Schizosaccharomyces pombe: one gene and its partners. The gene in region 1 interacts genetically with each later gene. Each region holds a gene or a part of one and is shown on either strand. Other genes may lie near its edges.

Evidence for each region.
Region 2: mutations in rtf2 (region 1) and fta6 together harm fitness more than expected from each alone (negative genetic interaction), as found in Schizosaccharomyces pombe (one large-scale study listed by BioGRID).
Region 3: mutations in rtf2 (region 1) and prp22 together harm fitness more than expected from each alone (negative genetic interaction), as found in Schizosaccharomyces pombe (one large-scale study listed by BioGRID).
Region 4: mutations in rtf2 (region 1) and dad4 together harm fitness more than expected from each alone (negative genetic interaction), as found in Schizosaccharomyces pombe (one large-scale study listed by BioGRID).

Annotation. Positions count from the first base shown.
Region 1 is NC_003424.3:651,707-654,991, reverse strand, and holds rtf2 (DNA replication termination factor Rtf2), read left to right. Parts: upstream 1-1,719; 5' UTR 1,720-1,757; coding exon 1,758-1,770; intron 1,771-1,813; coding exon 1,814-2,229; exon of another isoform or gene 2,230-2,293; coding exon 2,294-2,416; exon of another isoform or gene 2,417-2,462; coding exon 2,463-2,633; 3' UTR 2,634-2,767; downstream 2,768-3,285. Other genes in the region: 3' tRNA-processing endonuclease tRNAse Z L2 Trz1, read right to left, coding at 1-796, 834-1,218; phosphatidylinositol synthase (CDP-diacylglycerol--inositol 3-phosphatidyltransferase) Pis1, read right to left, coding at 3,144-3,285. UniProt on the Schizosaccharomyces pombe protein: Putative splicing factor that is required for the correct splicing of a subset of pre-mRNAs. Required for the correct splicing of rtf1, a replication termination factor that mediates site-specific replication termination at replication barrier RTS1.
Region 2 is NC_003424.3:4,781,499-4,784,300, reverse strand, and holds fta6 (protein Fta6), read left to right. Parts: upstream 1-1,994; 5' UTR 1,995-2,027; coding exon 2,028-2,058; intron 2,059-2,105; coding exon 2,106-2,254; downstream 2,255-2,802. Other genes in the region: ARP2/3 actin-organizing complex actin-related protein subunit Arp2, read right to left, coding at 24-1,148, 1,199-1,246; pheromone p-factor receptor Mam2, read right to left, coding at 2,567-2,802. UniProt on the Schizosaccharomyces pombe protein: Component of the kinetochore, a multiprotein complex that assembles on centromeric DNA and attaches chromosomes to spindle microtubules, mediating chromosome segregation and sister chromatid segregation during meiosis and mitosis.
Region 3 is NC_003424.3:1,206,299-1,212,412, forward strand, and holds prp22 (ATP-dependent RNA helicase, spliceosomal Prp22), read right to left. Parts: upstream 4,282-6,114; 5' UTR 4,187-4,281; coding exon 4,114-4,186; exon of another isoform or gene 4,061-4,113; coding exon 627-4,060; 3' UTR 514-626; downstream 1-513. Other genes in the region: CTP synthase Cts1, read right to left, coding at 5,148-5,686, 5,907-6,114. UniProt on the Schizosaccharomyces pombe protein: Acts late in the splicing of pre-mRNA. Required for the splicing of introns with a branch nucleotide to 3'-splice site distance greater or equal to 15. Mediates the release of the spliced mRNA from spliceosomes.
Region 4 is NC_003423.3:4,004,497-4,008,089, forward strand, and holds dad4 (DASH complex subunit Dad4), read right to left. Parts: upstream 1,887-3,593; 5' UTR 1,839-1,886; coding exon 1,734-1,838; intron 1,706-1,733; exon of another isoform or gene 1,675-1,705; coding exon 1,561-1,674; 3' UTR 1,533-1,560; coding exon of another isoform or gene 1,445-1,532; 3' UTR 1,370-1,444; coding exon of another isoform or gene 1,308-1,369; 3' UTR 1,144-1,307; coding exon of another isoform or gene 892-1,143; 3' UTR 787-891; coding exon of another isoform or gene 676-786; 3' UTR 630-675; downstream 1-629. Other genes in the region: ESCRT II complex subunit Vps36, read left to right, coding at 1-219; SNARE protein Vti1, read left to right, coding at 461-486, 524-629, 676-786, 892-1,143, 1,308-1,369, 1,445-1,532; cleavage and polyadenylation specificity factor complex subunit Ctf1, read right to left, coding at 2,361-2,471, 2,509-3,458, 3,501-3,531.

The DNA of each region.
Region 1 (3,285 bases):
ACTTCGTTTACTTCAGTCGAAGCAATTAGATGGCTCACCTCACTTGGGAATGAAGAAATCCAGCTCTGATAACGTGGATTTTTGTATACTTCTGGTGTAACCGAATGAATGACACAAACAGGTTTAGGTGCATTTGTCCATTTATGATTTTCAATGACCAAGTCAATTACGAGTTCGTTGGGGCAATGAATAATAAAAAAGGAGGAGCCAGGAATAGAAGGACCAATCACTTCTTTTGGATATACTGTTTTTCCGTTTTCAAGAGTTACAGGTTCTCCTCGAGCGAGTCTACCACAGTCTAATCCTTTCGTGATACCAAGCGATTTTGCTTTTGCGGCGTCAAATTTCCCTGGGGTAGGATGGGATTGAACAATATAAGAAATAAACAGCTCTGGCTTGTCTGGTTCCAAAGGAGCCGGAGTGTTATACATTGCATTCTCAACGACGAATGATGTATCATTGGAAACGTGAGAATACCAATGAGGAGAAGTATTTGCTCTATCCTCTTTTAATGGTCTTGCATTTGTACCTCTGTTAATGTTTTCATGCTTCCTTTTTTTAAAAGAATTTTTAACTAGTGAAACAACTACCGGAGTTACACAAATATTTTCATCAACGAATACTGGGGCCTCAGCCGAAGTATATCCCTGTACCGTTAAATTTACATTCGTATGATAAGTGAAATGCCGCATCGAAGATAAAAACTGATGAACTTCACTAGGTCCATGAAGGACAAAAGGACTAGCTTCTCCGGTTTCCCCAGGTTCCGAAATATCATTGAGAGACAGCAAAAAGCCTATTGTCAGAAATTATTAAATATATTTAACACTTACCTGGAAACCCACCACAAGAATCCCACCATGTAGGATAGTTTACAGTCGAGCACATACTATTACGTTCAGATACAATAACTTTGTCCCGATCATCCAGCTGTAGCATATCAGAAACAGAGGTAGTAGACGATGAAGAAGAAGAATCATATGTATCTGGTGATGATATTGAAGATCCTTGCATTAAGAAGACATCTTTAATCTTTGATAATCGAAGCTGTTGGGAGAGTATAGCTCTTTGACAACCTTCCCCTACGCTTCCAAATACATACCTCTTAGAATCAAAAAATAAGTGGATGCAGGGAATACAAGATGTATCCCGAGAACTGACGCTCACAAATTGTAAATAGAAATTTTTTGTTGCCCTAAAATTAACAGTTTTCGACATTTAACACGACCTGAAAAAGAAAAAGGAAAAGGTTCAATATGAATAAAAAAAAAAGGGTCCGAAATCTAAGTTAACAAAAACAAAAGTAAGTAAAGGGGCCTAAAATACTAATAGCTACTCAGTACCAATTTTCGAACTCAACTGGATACTAAGAGTAAGAGGTTTCGGATTTCACAAAATGTTTCATATAACATTGATTTAGATGTATGAAAGAAGCAGTTAACTCGTAGTTGAAACCTACAAACCAGCTGTTGTAGAAGAAAAATTGCTGCTTTTGGTGTATACTTTCGTAAGTCCTTAACGCAACTACGTATTCCCATCACAAATGTTTGCAATTTAAATAAGGTTTAAAAATAAGCGAAGATCATTGAAGCGAAAATTGTATTTGACATTTCGGTATATCTTGCGTAACGAAACCTAACGTTTAATTTTAGTGCATTATAGTAGAATGCAGTAAATGCAGTCGTGGAATGTAAGCGCTTCTTTGAAATATGCTTACTTAACACTACTCTGTAATATTTAATACACACAAGTAAACTATGGGAAATGACGGTAGGATTCGTTTATTTTGCTTCTAAATTTTAACATGTTTTAGGAGGATCATTACCAACCCGAAACGAATTAGTGAAAGAGCCTGGCAAAGTACCGCCGCTTGATATAGACTTTAAACGTTCTGTAAAATCTTCTCAATTTTCTCAGTGTGCCATTACGGATGAGCCCTTATACCCTCCAATTGTATCGTGTGGTTTAGGAAAACTGTATAACAAAGCAAGCATTTTACAAATGCTGTTAGATAGGTCAAGTGTTCCGAAAAGCCCTTCTCATATAAAATCACTGAAAGACGTGGTACAACTTCAAGTTGAGCTGGATGATTCCGGTAAAGTGCTATGGTTATGCCCGATTACAAGACATGTAATGTCTGATACATACCAATTCGCCTACATAGTGCCTTGCGGTCATGTATTTGAATACTCTGCCTTGAAGCAGTTTGGCGAGAAAATGTGTTTTCAAGTAAGTCTATCGATAGCTAAGAAAAGCATTTCCAACCCTTGAGTTATTGCTAACACAACATCAGTGTAATCAGGTCTACGAGGAAAAAGACGTTATTCCCATCAACCCGAATGCTGAGCAATTAAAAACATTAAGTAAACGCCTTCTTGATCTCGCATTATCTGAAAAGACTCACAGTTTAAATAAGGTACTTCACAGAATTTTCAAAATTCGGCAATGACTAACATACTTAGGCTTCAAAGAAATCAAATAAAAACGGCGATAAAAAACGAAAACATGTTTCAAAATCAAATAGCAAGCACGCTAAGCATGAATTGCGGACAAATAGAATGTTGGATGGAGAAAACGTAAAATCTGAGACCAGTGTAACTGACATGGAACGTGTAAAAAGGGTGAAGATTTGAGGGACGCTTTATTTATGGGTAAATTAATACACACATACATTTATCTTTTAAAAAAAAATCTACTATGTACATTTAAATAGGATTTTTTTATCATAAACAATGTTTTTAAATTAATGCAACGAACGATTAAATTTATTGAAGTAAAGTGAAAGTTATATCGCTTAAATAAGTAAAGCATTCTATTTCTAAATAAGCTTTTCGACGAATGGCTTCACGTTGTGGATGCATTTTTTTATTAATCAGTGCAATCACTCCAACCAAGCTTTTAAAGGTGACAGAAAATAATCCCAAAGGCTAAGCTTAACACAAAAGTGCTTAGCCCAATAGAATTAAGGCTTTTAGAAAGAGAAAATGTCAAAAAAAAGGTATTGAATTATAAGAGGTAAAATCAAAGAGAATGCACAAAGTAAGCTTGCAGATCTAAGGTCGAGGATGTTCAGATTGAAACCATCCTGATTAAAAATAGAAAATTTGGTAAACAGAAAATATGAAAATAGGATAACCCTGTGTTTATTGAAGCTTCTTTGCAGCCCTTCTTTGCTCAACATCCATTTTAACCAAGGCATTGGCAGCATTCACCAGCTGAACAACGTTAATAATTTGTTTGGCAAGGCAAATAGGACCACATAAAACGGCTAGAAGGGTCGGATAG
Region 2 (2,802 bases), 4.1 Mb from region 1:
AGAACATTAAACATAAATATACTCTAAGTAGTTCTAGGACCCAATTTGTCTAGTGCACGTACTCCATACTCCTCCCATTCTGCCTTGGACACCCACATGTGATCGTTTTGAGCCATGATATCTGCCAATACGGCGCCGCCGATAAACACGGCATGACGGCGACGAGGAGCGTCTTCAATCTTAACCTTAAAGTTAGGCAAACGTGCGGGATCTCCATGAAGAACACGCTCAAACCATAACTGTTTTATTTCCTTTTCAAGACGTGAAGGAAGACCGGCATACATACTGCTACCACCTGAGAGAACAATGGCGCGATACAAATACTTGCGAATGTCCACATCAGCTGCTTGGATAGTGTCAAAAATAAATTCACTCAAACCTGGTTGTTCACTACCAACCAGATGAGGTTGAAATAGACATTCTGGACATTCATAACGCTCAGAACCAACTTTAATAACTCTTCCATCAGGAAGGGTGTAATTACGCATTAAAACGGTAGTTTCTTCGCTAAGCTTATGGTCCAATTCCAAATCATAACTAACGTAACAAAGTTTTTCTTTCATCTCGCGAACAGTTTCAAAGTCTGCTGTACGATTGAAAGCATAACCCTTACGAAGAAGTAAGCTAATCAAATAGCGGGTAGCATCCCTACCGGCAACGTCAAGGCGACCAACTAAATGATTTAAAACAACACTTTCATAGACAGGCACAATATGGGTTACACCGTCACCAGAATCAACAACTACACCACTGCTTAATCCCTGTGCGTATAAAGAGAGAACGGCCTGAATGGCGACATAAACACCACCAAAACCATACCGTTCAAACATTGTCTCACACATTTTTTCGCGGTTAGCAACAGGATTCATAGGGGGCTCGGTCAACAAAATTTTCCTACCCCTCGGATCAATTTTTAGTTTTTCAAAGAAAGTGTAATCCCAAAGTTGATTCATCTCTTCAAAATCACGGATAATGCCATTTTCCATGGGATATTTTACTTGAAGTAAAGATCTCACCGCCTCAGCTTCATCACCGACCATAACATCTTTAATTTGAACATTTCCTGTTTTCTCTTCAGCACGTAAAATGGGCCTTCCTACGATGGATGGGAATTGAAAGCGCGGAAAATTGTCTTTAGCATATCCGACCTTGCTAACGTTAGTCACAGTGTAAACAAAGATTTAATTAAACTGATTACCTTCACAAAACCAGTTCCATTATCTAGAACAATGGGAGCAGACTCCATTTTATAAACGTCTCGTGTAGTTGGTGAAAGGTTAGTTCTTAAGTCCACCCCTATGTAATGTACCGGCGGTAACTATCTGCCATATACCGTATGACACAGCAGCACTGCAACTGTAGCAGAGCATTCGGTGATATATCGTAAATATGTAATATCGTAGGAAAGCGAAGTGCAGTAATCTTGAGAATTATAAAACAGAAATGAAGTATCTAAATTAATTTAACAATTGGCTGCAAAAAGAATAGCTCAAAGGTTTTTACGGTTAATGATCTTATCTTCTATTGTACTTAGCATTAGTATCGTTACCCCTTATACTCAAAGCCATAACTGTGCATTTATAATTGTTCGGCAGTAATGTATATTATCGCTTATTAGTTAAAAGATTCTTCGTTTCACATAGTATTACTATTATTTAAAAGAAAAACACGGACTCTATTTGTTTGTTTAATGTGCAGGTAACACTTCGATCGTTTATTATGAGATTGGTATGACTAGGAGCGCTGTGCAAAAATGAAGAATCGCGGAACCGATTTAATAAAGAATTTATTTCTCTAGTAACTAGATGTGTGCATTAAATTGAATACAAGACTTAAACAAAAGAATTATAATTATCGACATATACCATTATTGAATATTTGTCATCTGTTTACTGAAATAAGTGGAGCAATGCAATTTGAGAATAACACATATCGGTTTAAAGATCCTTATTATATTGCTATTACTAAATTAAGGAGTGTAACGTTTCGCAGCTAAAACATTTCGATACAATATTTGATAAAAATAAATGGAGGATAAATACATTTTATTGTCAGCAGGTTGGTTATAATTTTTATTTAATAGCTCAATACTTACGTGTATATAGTGGAAACGTTTAAATCACGTCTGGAAGAACTGCTAATGCAATCGGCCAAAGTACAAAAGCAAACGATGCTTAGAAAGGAATTAGCTTCTTCGATGAATGATATGGCTTCTACGGTACAAGAAGCTTTAAATAAAAAAAAAAGTTCGTAAGGTAAGCACTTGGAGACTCAAAACATTATAGTTCATTATAGATTACGAAGGCAGTTCATTCACTATTGTTTTAATAAGTGTTTGTGAAGTACGACTTGAAGTTTTCATGATAATAAGTTATTATAATCATATAATTTCATTGATGTTTATAGTAAACAATTGTTCATGAAGCGAAAAAAAAAAAACCATTAGAAAACTTCCCTCTGAGCAAATTATGATTACAAGCCTATCGTAAAAAAACCGTCTATGTTATTTGGGACTGTTATTGAGCCAGTATTAGGAATTATCAAAAAAGATACATTCAGGCGTAAGTTACGTCCACTTTTTAGTTTCAGATTCATCAGAAATCGAATAATCGTCACTGGGAGTATGTTTGATATCAAACGTTCTATCAACTCTAATCGAAACCTCGGTGGTTTCTCCTTGCGCAGATGAAGTTTTCATGCTTTGCAATTTCAGAGCTGTACTAGACGCCCATAAACTCGAAAGAGGAAGAGAAATGATTAGCAGACATTGAGTCATAGAGCTAAAGCCATCATACGTATGGA
Region 3 (6,114 bases), 550 kb from region 1:
CGATTACTTCTCTGGATTATACAACCTTATTATTCCCATCGCCTGAAAATTACGGATCATTTTGTAACGGGGCACGCAATACTGTAAGCCAACAGCATTATTACGTGGTATTGCGTGGAATGGCATTAATTTTAACGCGCGCTTTGATTAAGGTGGTAAGCACAATCACAGAGATCTAAGGCAAGCGACAGATGGCTCAATATTGTCTCGGCTAGGGGTTAGAGTTATTTCGAGCGAGAATGAGAGTAATTTACACGTTGTATGCTGCCATATCATAAGAGTGTTTGGGTCTAGCCGGTGATCAGTTTTTTTTTTTTCCTTTCCACAGTAGAGAGGGATTTTTGGCGTCATCTCGTACTATGAAATACTCTTGTACTTTGAATTACCCTTGTACTTTGCAGCACTTGGAAAGCTGTCCACTATTTTCATAACCAAGCAGAACTAAAACCCAACATATACTGCTCGTTTTCTAAACGTCTCACGAACTAATAGCCAGCTAAGACACTTCAAAGTACGATTTTGAATATATCAACAAAGATTTTATTTATGACCCCCATATCTTTTTGTAGTACCAAAACAACATATCTAATTAATACATTTTATATAAATAATAAACAACAAAATTATTAACGACCTCCCTTTCGTTGCTTTGAAATCCTCCACTCATCGGGTTTTTCAAATCGATTGTACAATGGTAGCACCTTGAGATTTTTCTTGGTTTTGGAAACTTGATTTGCATTGGCAAATTTAAAGAATGTTGGTGCAACTTCCACAAGCCATTTTGGATTCACTGTGCTTACCGTGTGCATGTATTCTTTTGACGTTTGAATCAGTTCATGGTATATCACCCACTCTGCAGCTTTTCCAAATAAAACTCCACTAGGATGCATGTATACAGGAGCATTCTCCACGATCGTTTTGTAACATCCCTCGTGAGAGTCTCGCTTGGCAACATTGGTAAAGTAGCCAGAACACAAAGCCCGTAAAATAAGTTCTCTCTTTCTTCCACATGAAACAACTGGGTGTCGATACCGATCCATTAGGCGAATAAGCTGTTTGCGTACATCTTCAGCTCGACGCATACCACGGGCTTGGATATAATGTTCATAACACCAATTATCTGAGCAACGATTCATTTTCCAAGTCGTATACACATTAAGTAAGGTTAAGTGATCACTCTCAGGATTTGCAAATTGTGCTCGTTGTCGATCAGCTTCTTGCTGCTTCTCCCTTGGTCGGCTCCAAATGTTAGGTACGCTAAGCATGGCAATAATACTCAACATTTCTTCAGAGCAACCTAATTCTACGCTAGTAATCAATACTTTTGACAATTGAGGCTCCATCGGGAAATCTGCCATTTTTCGCCCAAGAGGAGTCAGCAATCCCTCATCGTCCAAGGCCGACAGTGCATACAGATTTTGCAAGGCGGCTATCATGGTTTGAGCAGGTGGAGGATCCATAAAATCAAAATTCAAAAGGTCGTTAATTCCCATTGCCTTTAACATCAAAATAGTATGCGACAAATTTTGGCGTTGTATCTCAGGAATCGGGGAAGGCAACATTTCGTTTCGGTAAGCGCTTTCAGTATACAGACGATAACATTTTCCGGGTCCTGTACGCCCTGCACGACCACTTCTTTGCCTAGCTTGTGCTTGAGAAATTGGCGTAACTATTAGAGAATCCATGCCTAGTTTTGGATCAAAGCAGCTCTGCTTGACAAACCCAGGGTCCACCACATAATAAATTCCATCAATTGTTAAACTAGTTTCAGCAATGTTGGTTGCAATTACTACCTTACGACCTCCTGGGGGAGCAGGTTCAAAAATACGACTTTGTATTTCCGAAGGAAGCGCTGAATAAACAGGTAAAATAACTAGCTCAGGAATCGAATCTCCTAGCATTTTACTTCTTTCATATAATATTTCACAACTAGTATCAATTTCTTCTTGACCTGTCAGAAATACTAATATATCACCAGGTCCTTCGCTCAAGTGGATTTGCATAACAGTCATCAAAGCAGCATCAAGATAGTCGGCTTCTGGTTGTTTTGTATACATGATTTCGACGGGATATGAACGCCCAGGAATCGTAAAAATTGGGCATTTATAGAAATAAGACGAAAACCGCTCAGCATCTAGCGTGGCTGAAGTAACAATTAGCTTTAAATCTGGCCGTTTCAAAACAGTTCCCTTTAACAGTCCAAAAAGTACATCAGTTGCAACGGTTCTTTCATGTGCTTCATCTAAAATAATTACAGAATATTTGGACAAAAGAGGATCAACTAAACATTCTCGTTGAAGCATACCATCAGTCATATATTTAATTTGGGTCATTCTACTGGTCTTATCTTCGAAACGAATAGTGTAACCAACCTCTTCACCAACACGACATCCCACTTCTTCTGCTACACGTTTGGCAACAGACATTGCAGCTACACGCCTAGGTTGAGTACAACCTATCATTTTGCTATCACTGGTATAACCTTCTTCAGCAAGATATTGAGTGATTTGAGTGGTCTTACCGGAACCGGTTTCACCGAGTAGAACCAAAATTTGGTTTTTTGAGACAGCCTCGAGAAACTGTTTACGAAGTTTAAAAACTGGAAGACCCTCTCTTTGCTCTTTCATGCTCAGTGTTGTTCTTTTACCGTAGGATATATTTGCATTTCGTGTTGCTTGACGCCAGCTGGGAGTTTCAGAAGTAAGTTGACGAGCAGCTGAGTCTCGCACATCTTGGGCAAATTTCCGATCCTGAGGATTCGACATAGTGTCTTGCCATGAGAGGGATAAGTCTTGCTTTTCCATTTCTTGTTCACTCTTTAATTTTGCCTCCTTTTGTCTTATTTCTCGTCTATCATTTGCTAAAATCTGCCCTTGCATTGCTGCTCTGGACAATGAACCATCCGGGGCCTTTACAACTTTTATAGGAGATAGCTTTAATGAAACTTTGGTTTGTCCTGCGAGAAATCCAGGTTCTTCTTCACGAAGTTCGATTTCTACGTCTTCATCATCTTCGGGATTAATTTCCGCAGCATTATTAGTATTGAATCCATCGTTGAGTTCAGGAATATCCGTAGCGGAAATTGCACCGGATGCAGCAAGTTGCTGTAACTCCCATATTTCAGGTGATGTTAAACGCTTCCGACCGTTTGAAGTGAACGTTTCAAGTGGATTCACATGTCCAATTTCAGAATTTTGGGCTGATAATGGAATAGCGTTTGCTCCACTACCCTTCTTTGTAGAACGTGAAACTTGATCCGGATTCAAATCCTCACCTGTAACTTGATTCACCTCCTTCATTGACAGGCTGATTCGCTTTGCTGATTCATCAATTCTAATAACTTTTACAAATACAGGTTGTCCATAGCTAACAGCCTCTGAAGGATGATCCAATCTCCCATTTAATTGGATATTTGAGATATGAACCAAACCATCAGTTCTCTTTCTAAAGCCGTCCAAAGTTACAAAGGCACCAAAGTCCTTAATACCTGAGACAACACCAGAATAAATTCCATACAATGTTGGAGCATTTAGCAATGGACCACGCGATGATCGACTAGAATGTGATTGACCAGAAATTGAGGTACGTGAATGATGCGAAAAACTGGGACTAATTGATCTCTCTCTACGTTCCCTTATTCCATTGAGGTAATGCCGCTCATCCCTCCTAGAATCCCTATCGTTTCTCCTTGTTTTGGCCAACGTCGAAAGTTCTTCCAGCTCGTCCATAGCATTATCCATAAGCGCTGGTCTATCCCTTAAATTATTCGTGCTATTTGGGATGCTTAAGCCAGGAAACATCTTTCTTTGGTGTTGTTTGTCAACATCTTTGCTATCTAAATCATGCGAAGCTCCATTGACCGAGTTACTACCATTATTTACATTATCAGTGGGAATGTCATCTTTAGGCTTAATTTCCTTAATTAATCGACTTATGTTTTGAAGGAAACTGTCGGTGAATTCTCCTCCACATGAAAGGACATTATTTTTAAACTCATCGTAATTCTTAGACTGATCATGCAAATTAATAATAAATTCTGCAAGAGTATTATCGTCAATTCCTAGATTTGGTTAATTATTTATAAAAAAATGAGTATTAAAGCCTACTACTTACCAGTATGATTTCGAATTTCAGAGGCAACTTTAGATACCAAGGATAAATACTCCAATTCTTTCAGATCGTCCATTATTGTCTTTTCTCCCACTAGGATTCACTAAAAATTAAATCGAAGTTTGAAGAAGACTTTCAAAATTGCTCCATACCAAACATAGGTGTATGGTTAAAAATGAAACGCGTGCAATAGACAATCGCGTTTCCTAACTTTGTACAAATAAATATTCATGGCTGTCAACGCAACGAGTTGCGCCAAAGGCAAATAAGGTAGCTGAATTACAGTTCGTTATAATAATGTCGAGGCTCTACTTATTATTTGAACTTTGAGTCCGTGTTGTTTACAATAGGAACTGGGGTGAGTTTCGTACCTTATTAAGAAATAATTTTTGCAACTTGAATGTTTAATTACTGTCAAAGTTTACGTAAGGTATTTCTAGAATGTTTTAATGGCTAAATCAATGACAGGGCGTAGCGAATATAAAAATATATAAGTCTATCTACAGTTTTCAACGATTGATACGTACTGAAGTGCTTTTTGCAAGTATGCTTGTACACTTGACATATTTATTACCTATGCAAATCAACGTAAATACTTTAATAGCGCTTTTCGAAAAGTATCGATCTATATTAATACAGTACTACGGCACCTCATATGCTAATAGATTTATGTCATTTGTACTGTATTTTAAACACAGTATTTGCATGCATTGTTACAGAGCCTCTGTGATTAACTCACACGTAATGAGCATTCAAAACGCATTACTCTAAATGTCTACAATATAATAACCGTAAAAATGGCTCAGAAGTTCTGAGAGTCATTTCATATCTCTAGATAGTCTCTATAACGTTAAGCTTAATTAGACTAACGGTTCAGTTGCAAAATTACTGGATACATCAAAAGAAAGCTTTTGAGCAGAACAACAATTGATAAATAGTGTCAACACCCCAGAACCCAATTTTTCCTATAGATAAAGAAAAACACACCAACAAACACACATTATTTCCTAATTCCCGGAATCCCATATAACCTACTTCTAACTGATGGTGACGACAGTGGCTTCTTCAGTAACTTCAACAGAGTCATTCATGTCAGCTAAGGCAGATTCAGCGTTAAAATGAGAAAAGTTGCTCCATTCGACTTCCTCACCAGACTGAATAAATTCATCCAACAAGCCAGCACTGGCCGCAACCAATCCAAAAATCGGTGGGGAGGGCTTAAGTGGCTTAGATAAATATTCAGGATGGTATTGTACGCCAACAAAGTAAGGATGGTCACGTTTCTCAATAATTTCCATACGCTCACCACGTTCATCTTTTCCGATGAAAGAAATTCCACCTTGTTCCAAACGGCTTACAAACGCAGGATTTATTTCATATCTATGACGATGTCTTTCCAAAACTTCATCAACCATCTTATGAAGTTTACGAAGTTTACTCCATTCGGAATTGGGTTGGAAAAAGGTAGGTCTCAATCCCAAACGCATAGTTCCACCCAGTTTATCCTTATCAATCTCAGGCATATAAACAACAACATTGTTTTCGCATTCCTTATCGAATTCTTCAGAAAATGCACCTAGAAATGTTAGTTAAAAATCTTTTGAAAGAAGCAAAATAAAAAATATGCTCCAATTAATAATAACTGTTTAACTATTCATGTAGCACTTGTCTACAGTTAGAGTCAACGGAAAATGACAAAAACCTCTAGTAAGTGCATGGAATCTATAGATCCCAAAAATAATAGAAGGCAGTTAAAAATTTAAAATGGAGTCCAATAAAAGCATCAAAAAACATACCTTCAATTCCACAAACACTTCTCGCGAATTCAATAACGGCAACTTGCATACCAAGGCAAATGCCCAAGTAGGGTGTATTATTTTCACGAGCCCACTTGGCTGCGGCAATCATCCCTTCGACACCGCGAGAGCCGAATCCGCCAGGCACTAGGATACCATTGGCAGAACAGACTAAATGCCATGCCTTATGGTAACTAAGTGGGTCACT
Region 4 (3,593 bases), on another chromosome or scaffold:
GCTATATTGGAAGTTATGAATCCTAGCACTACGGCTTTGAAATGTGCAATGAGGTTGCATTGGTCCATTGGTGTAACGTTAGAAAGACTTTATCAAGCTGAGATGGACGGTTACATTGTACGTGATGTTTATGAAGAATCTGGTTCTAGCTTACTATACTGGAAAAACGAATTTGACGAATTATCAGAAGAATTGACTAAATGGTTTGATGAATCATAGGAATAATAACTGTACACTATCTAATTAATATTCATTCCTTTTAACATTGTATTTTTCTTTCGCTTTAGTAGATTCCTCTCTACACACGCCTTAATTAATATGACTACCTGTTATGGGTATTCGATTCCCAACGTAACCATTTAATCTTAACCTACACCTATTTTATTTTTAATTCATTTGAGAAACTGTTTACACGATAGTTTCAAGAAATCTAATATATCAATATTAATAATTGTTAAATATGGAGACGTACGAGCAAGAATATCGGTATGTCTAATACCATTACAAGTTTACTAATAATTAGCTTGCTTCGAGCAGATATCGAAGAAAAACTTAATGATTTAAGTAAAAGTGGTGAGAACTCTGTTATTCAATCATGTCAGAGACTTTTAAATGAAATTGATGAAGTAGTATGTTGGAATAATTTGTGTTTTTAAAAAAGTGGCTAACTTGCAGATTGGTCAAATGGAAATTGAAATTACCGGTATCCCTACTTCTGAAAGAGGTCTCGTAAATGGAAGAATTCGTAGTTATCGTTCAACTTTGGAGGAGTGGCGTAGACACCTGGTAAGTTAGCTATATCGAACATTCTTCTTTTGAAGCTTTACAGAAATTACTATGAGACAATCTACTTTTATTTACCAAATTCATACTAACAATTTTCTCGTTTAGAAGGAAGAAATTGGCAAATCAGATAGGAAAGCCCTTTTTGGAAATAGGGATGAAACATCCGGTGATTATATTGCAAGTGATCAAGATTATGACCAAAGAACTCGTTTGTTACAAGGAACAAATAGACTTGAGCAATCTTCACAGCGTCTTCTTGAATCACAACGGATTGCGAATGAGACTGAAGGCATTGGTGCTAGCATTCTTCGTGATCTTCATGGTCAAAGAAATCAATTGGAGCATTCTTTAGAGATGGTAAGTAATTATTGCAAAATAGATAAATGAATCACTATGATTGATAAGATAAAATGCGCGATTTATACGCATATCTTAGCCAAGCTTATTAGCTCCATGGTTTAAAAATATAGTTTTCTTTTATGCTATGTATAAATTTCTTTGAGATTTGTTAACCAAATTAGCTTGGAGATACGTCTGGACACCTTGATCGAAGTTTAAGAACTCTGAAGACAATGGCAAGAAGGTAGGACACAGATAGACATTATTATAGTGATATGAATCGTCATGTAATGATCTTTTATACTAACTCATTTTAAAGACTTGCCATGAACAGATTTTTCACGACAGCAATAATTGCAATCCTTGTTATATTAATTTTGCTTGTGCTTTATAGCAAATTTCGTTAGCACAAATATTAAAGAACATCATATAACTTTAGATGGGATCTTTAAGCGTATGGGTCTCTTCCAAGTGGAATTTTACGTTTCTTGCATAATTCGCCCACATTTGACTAGCTAGCTCAACATTCATATTAGACATATTAATTAGCTTTAAGAATGTCAGCGGAAAGTTGATATGTACACAAATATTTGACGTCGTAATCTTACCTGTAATGAATGATTGAGTCTTGTAATACTTTCATTCAGCTTTTCTACATTACTTATGATCCTTCCTAATAATGCGCTTTGCTGTTCTTCCATAGGATTATTCATTTTCGATGGTTTTCAATTTCCTAAACTGTAATTATGTAGTCTGTACTTGGAAGCTTGCATGAGCCAGTGCTGACACTTCGTAGTTGGAAAAATTGAACTACAATTTTAAACCTGTGATCTAAATTTTTTTTAAGAAATTGAACTTTTTGGGAATTTATGAGTTGCATATTTATTTGAGAAGTATCAGTTGATGTTACCACCTACATTTTTATAATATATTTACGATCAAAAGGGCAGTTTAAAATATAAAAAATAATAAATTTTAATATGAAATATTGATTGAGTAAATTTTTATAAAAGGATATTGAATAAAGGATCCAAGAAATAGCCCTCCATAACGCGTATAGAAACAAATATTTATGAGAAGCAAAACATCCGAATAGTATAAAGAAGTGTGTAGTATGAAAAGGTATCAGTGCTAGGATATGGTTTATAGTGTTGTAAATAAATTATCTTGCACACCAAATTTAAGTACTTGGTCAAATGCTAATATTTAATCTCTTGATATTACTAAAATTAGACTTACTGTCGAAAATGCTGCCGACGAATGCTAAGAATTTGATCCCTTTGTGCAGGAGGTAATGCGTTAATTTGCTCTGGGGTAAGAGCCAACAATTGTTGTATGAGGGCCATCTGTTTTGTTAGTGCAAAAAAAAAAAAAAAAACGTACCCGCTTCCCTTCATTGCCCTGATCTGAACCATTCGCTTGTTGACTTTTATGGTTACTAGAAGGTATTTTTTGGGGAACAGAAGGAGGAGAGGAAGTTGCTGAAGCTGGTTGATGCATGTTTTTATTCTTCACTGCGACTACTACTTGTTGTAAGACATTTGCGTCAACTAAGTTCATCAGCAACATAGCTTGAAAGGCGGCGTATGGTAAAGCAGGATTAGCAATTAGAAGTCGTCGTGCCTCTTCTGGTGCTATATGAACTACAGTCTGAAGTTTGGACAACATATTGAGAAGTTCCTGAGCTGAGAAGGTAGATAGTACCTGAACGACAGACGGGGCCAATGGGATAGAAGTCGGATTCGATATAGAAGTCCCGGAAGTGTAATCCCCTTTGTTTTGTGAAGATTTATTATACTGAAAGGTTCTTGCATTGTATGCATCTGTATGGGGTTGACTGGCAGAATCAAAGTCGGAGGTCATACTGTTGTGAAAATTATAAGCAGGAACAGAAGTAGAATTTATATTTTTATTAAGATTAGTAGCCATTGACGACGAATAAATAGCAGGACTTGGCATCCCACCTCCTTGTGAAGCAGGCAGGGAAGATGTTGAATGCAAAACAGGAGGAATAAAACGGGAATTATAAGAACTTTCATGAGCATTTTGCTGTTCCATGTATCTATCAGTACGCTCCGTATATTCATAACTTTGATTCCTTCTGGGATCATTTGATGGAAACTCGACACGAATCTTACGAGGTCCTAATTCGGAATTATTTAACTTTCGTACAGCCATAGCGGTAGTCTCACTATCAAAAAACTCACAAAACCCATAACCCTTCCCACTACCTGTTTCCGGATCAAGTACAAGTTTGAAAGTCTTTACTGGTCCAACTTGATTAAAGATTTCAGTCATTTGCTGTTCCGAAACATCATATGGAATGTTACCAACTAAATTAGATTAGCAAAACCGAATATTTAAAGAATTATTACCAAATACGACATTCCCGGCTGTCATCGACATGCTGGTAGTCGCGTCTTTCGGTTTTGCCCATTCAACCAACGTACTGCTACTACTACTACTAC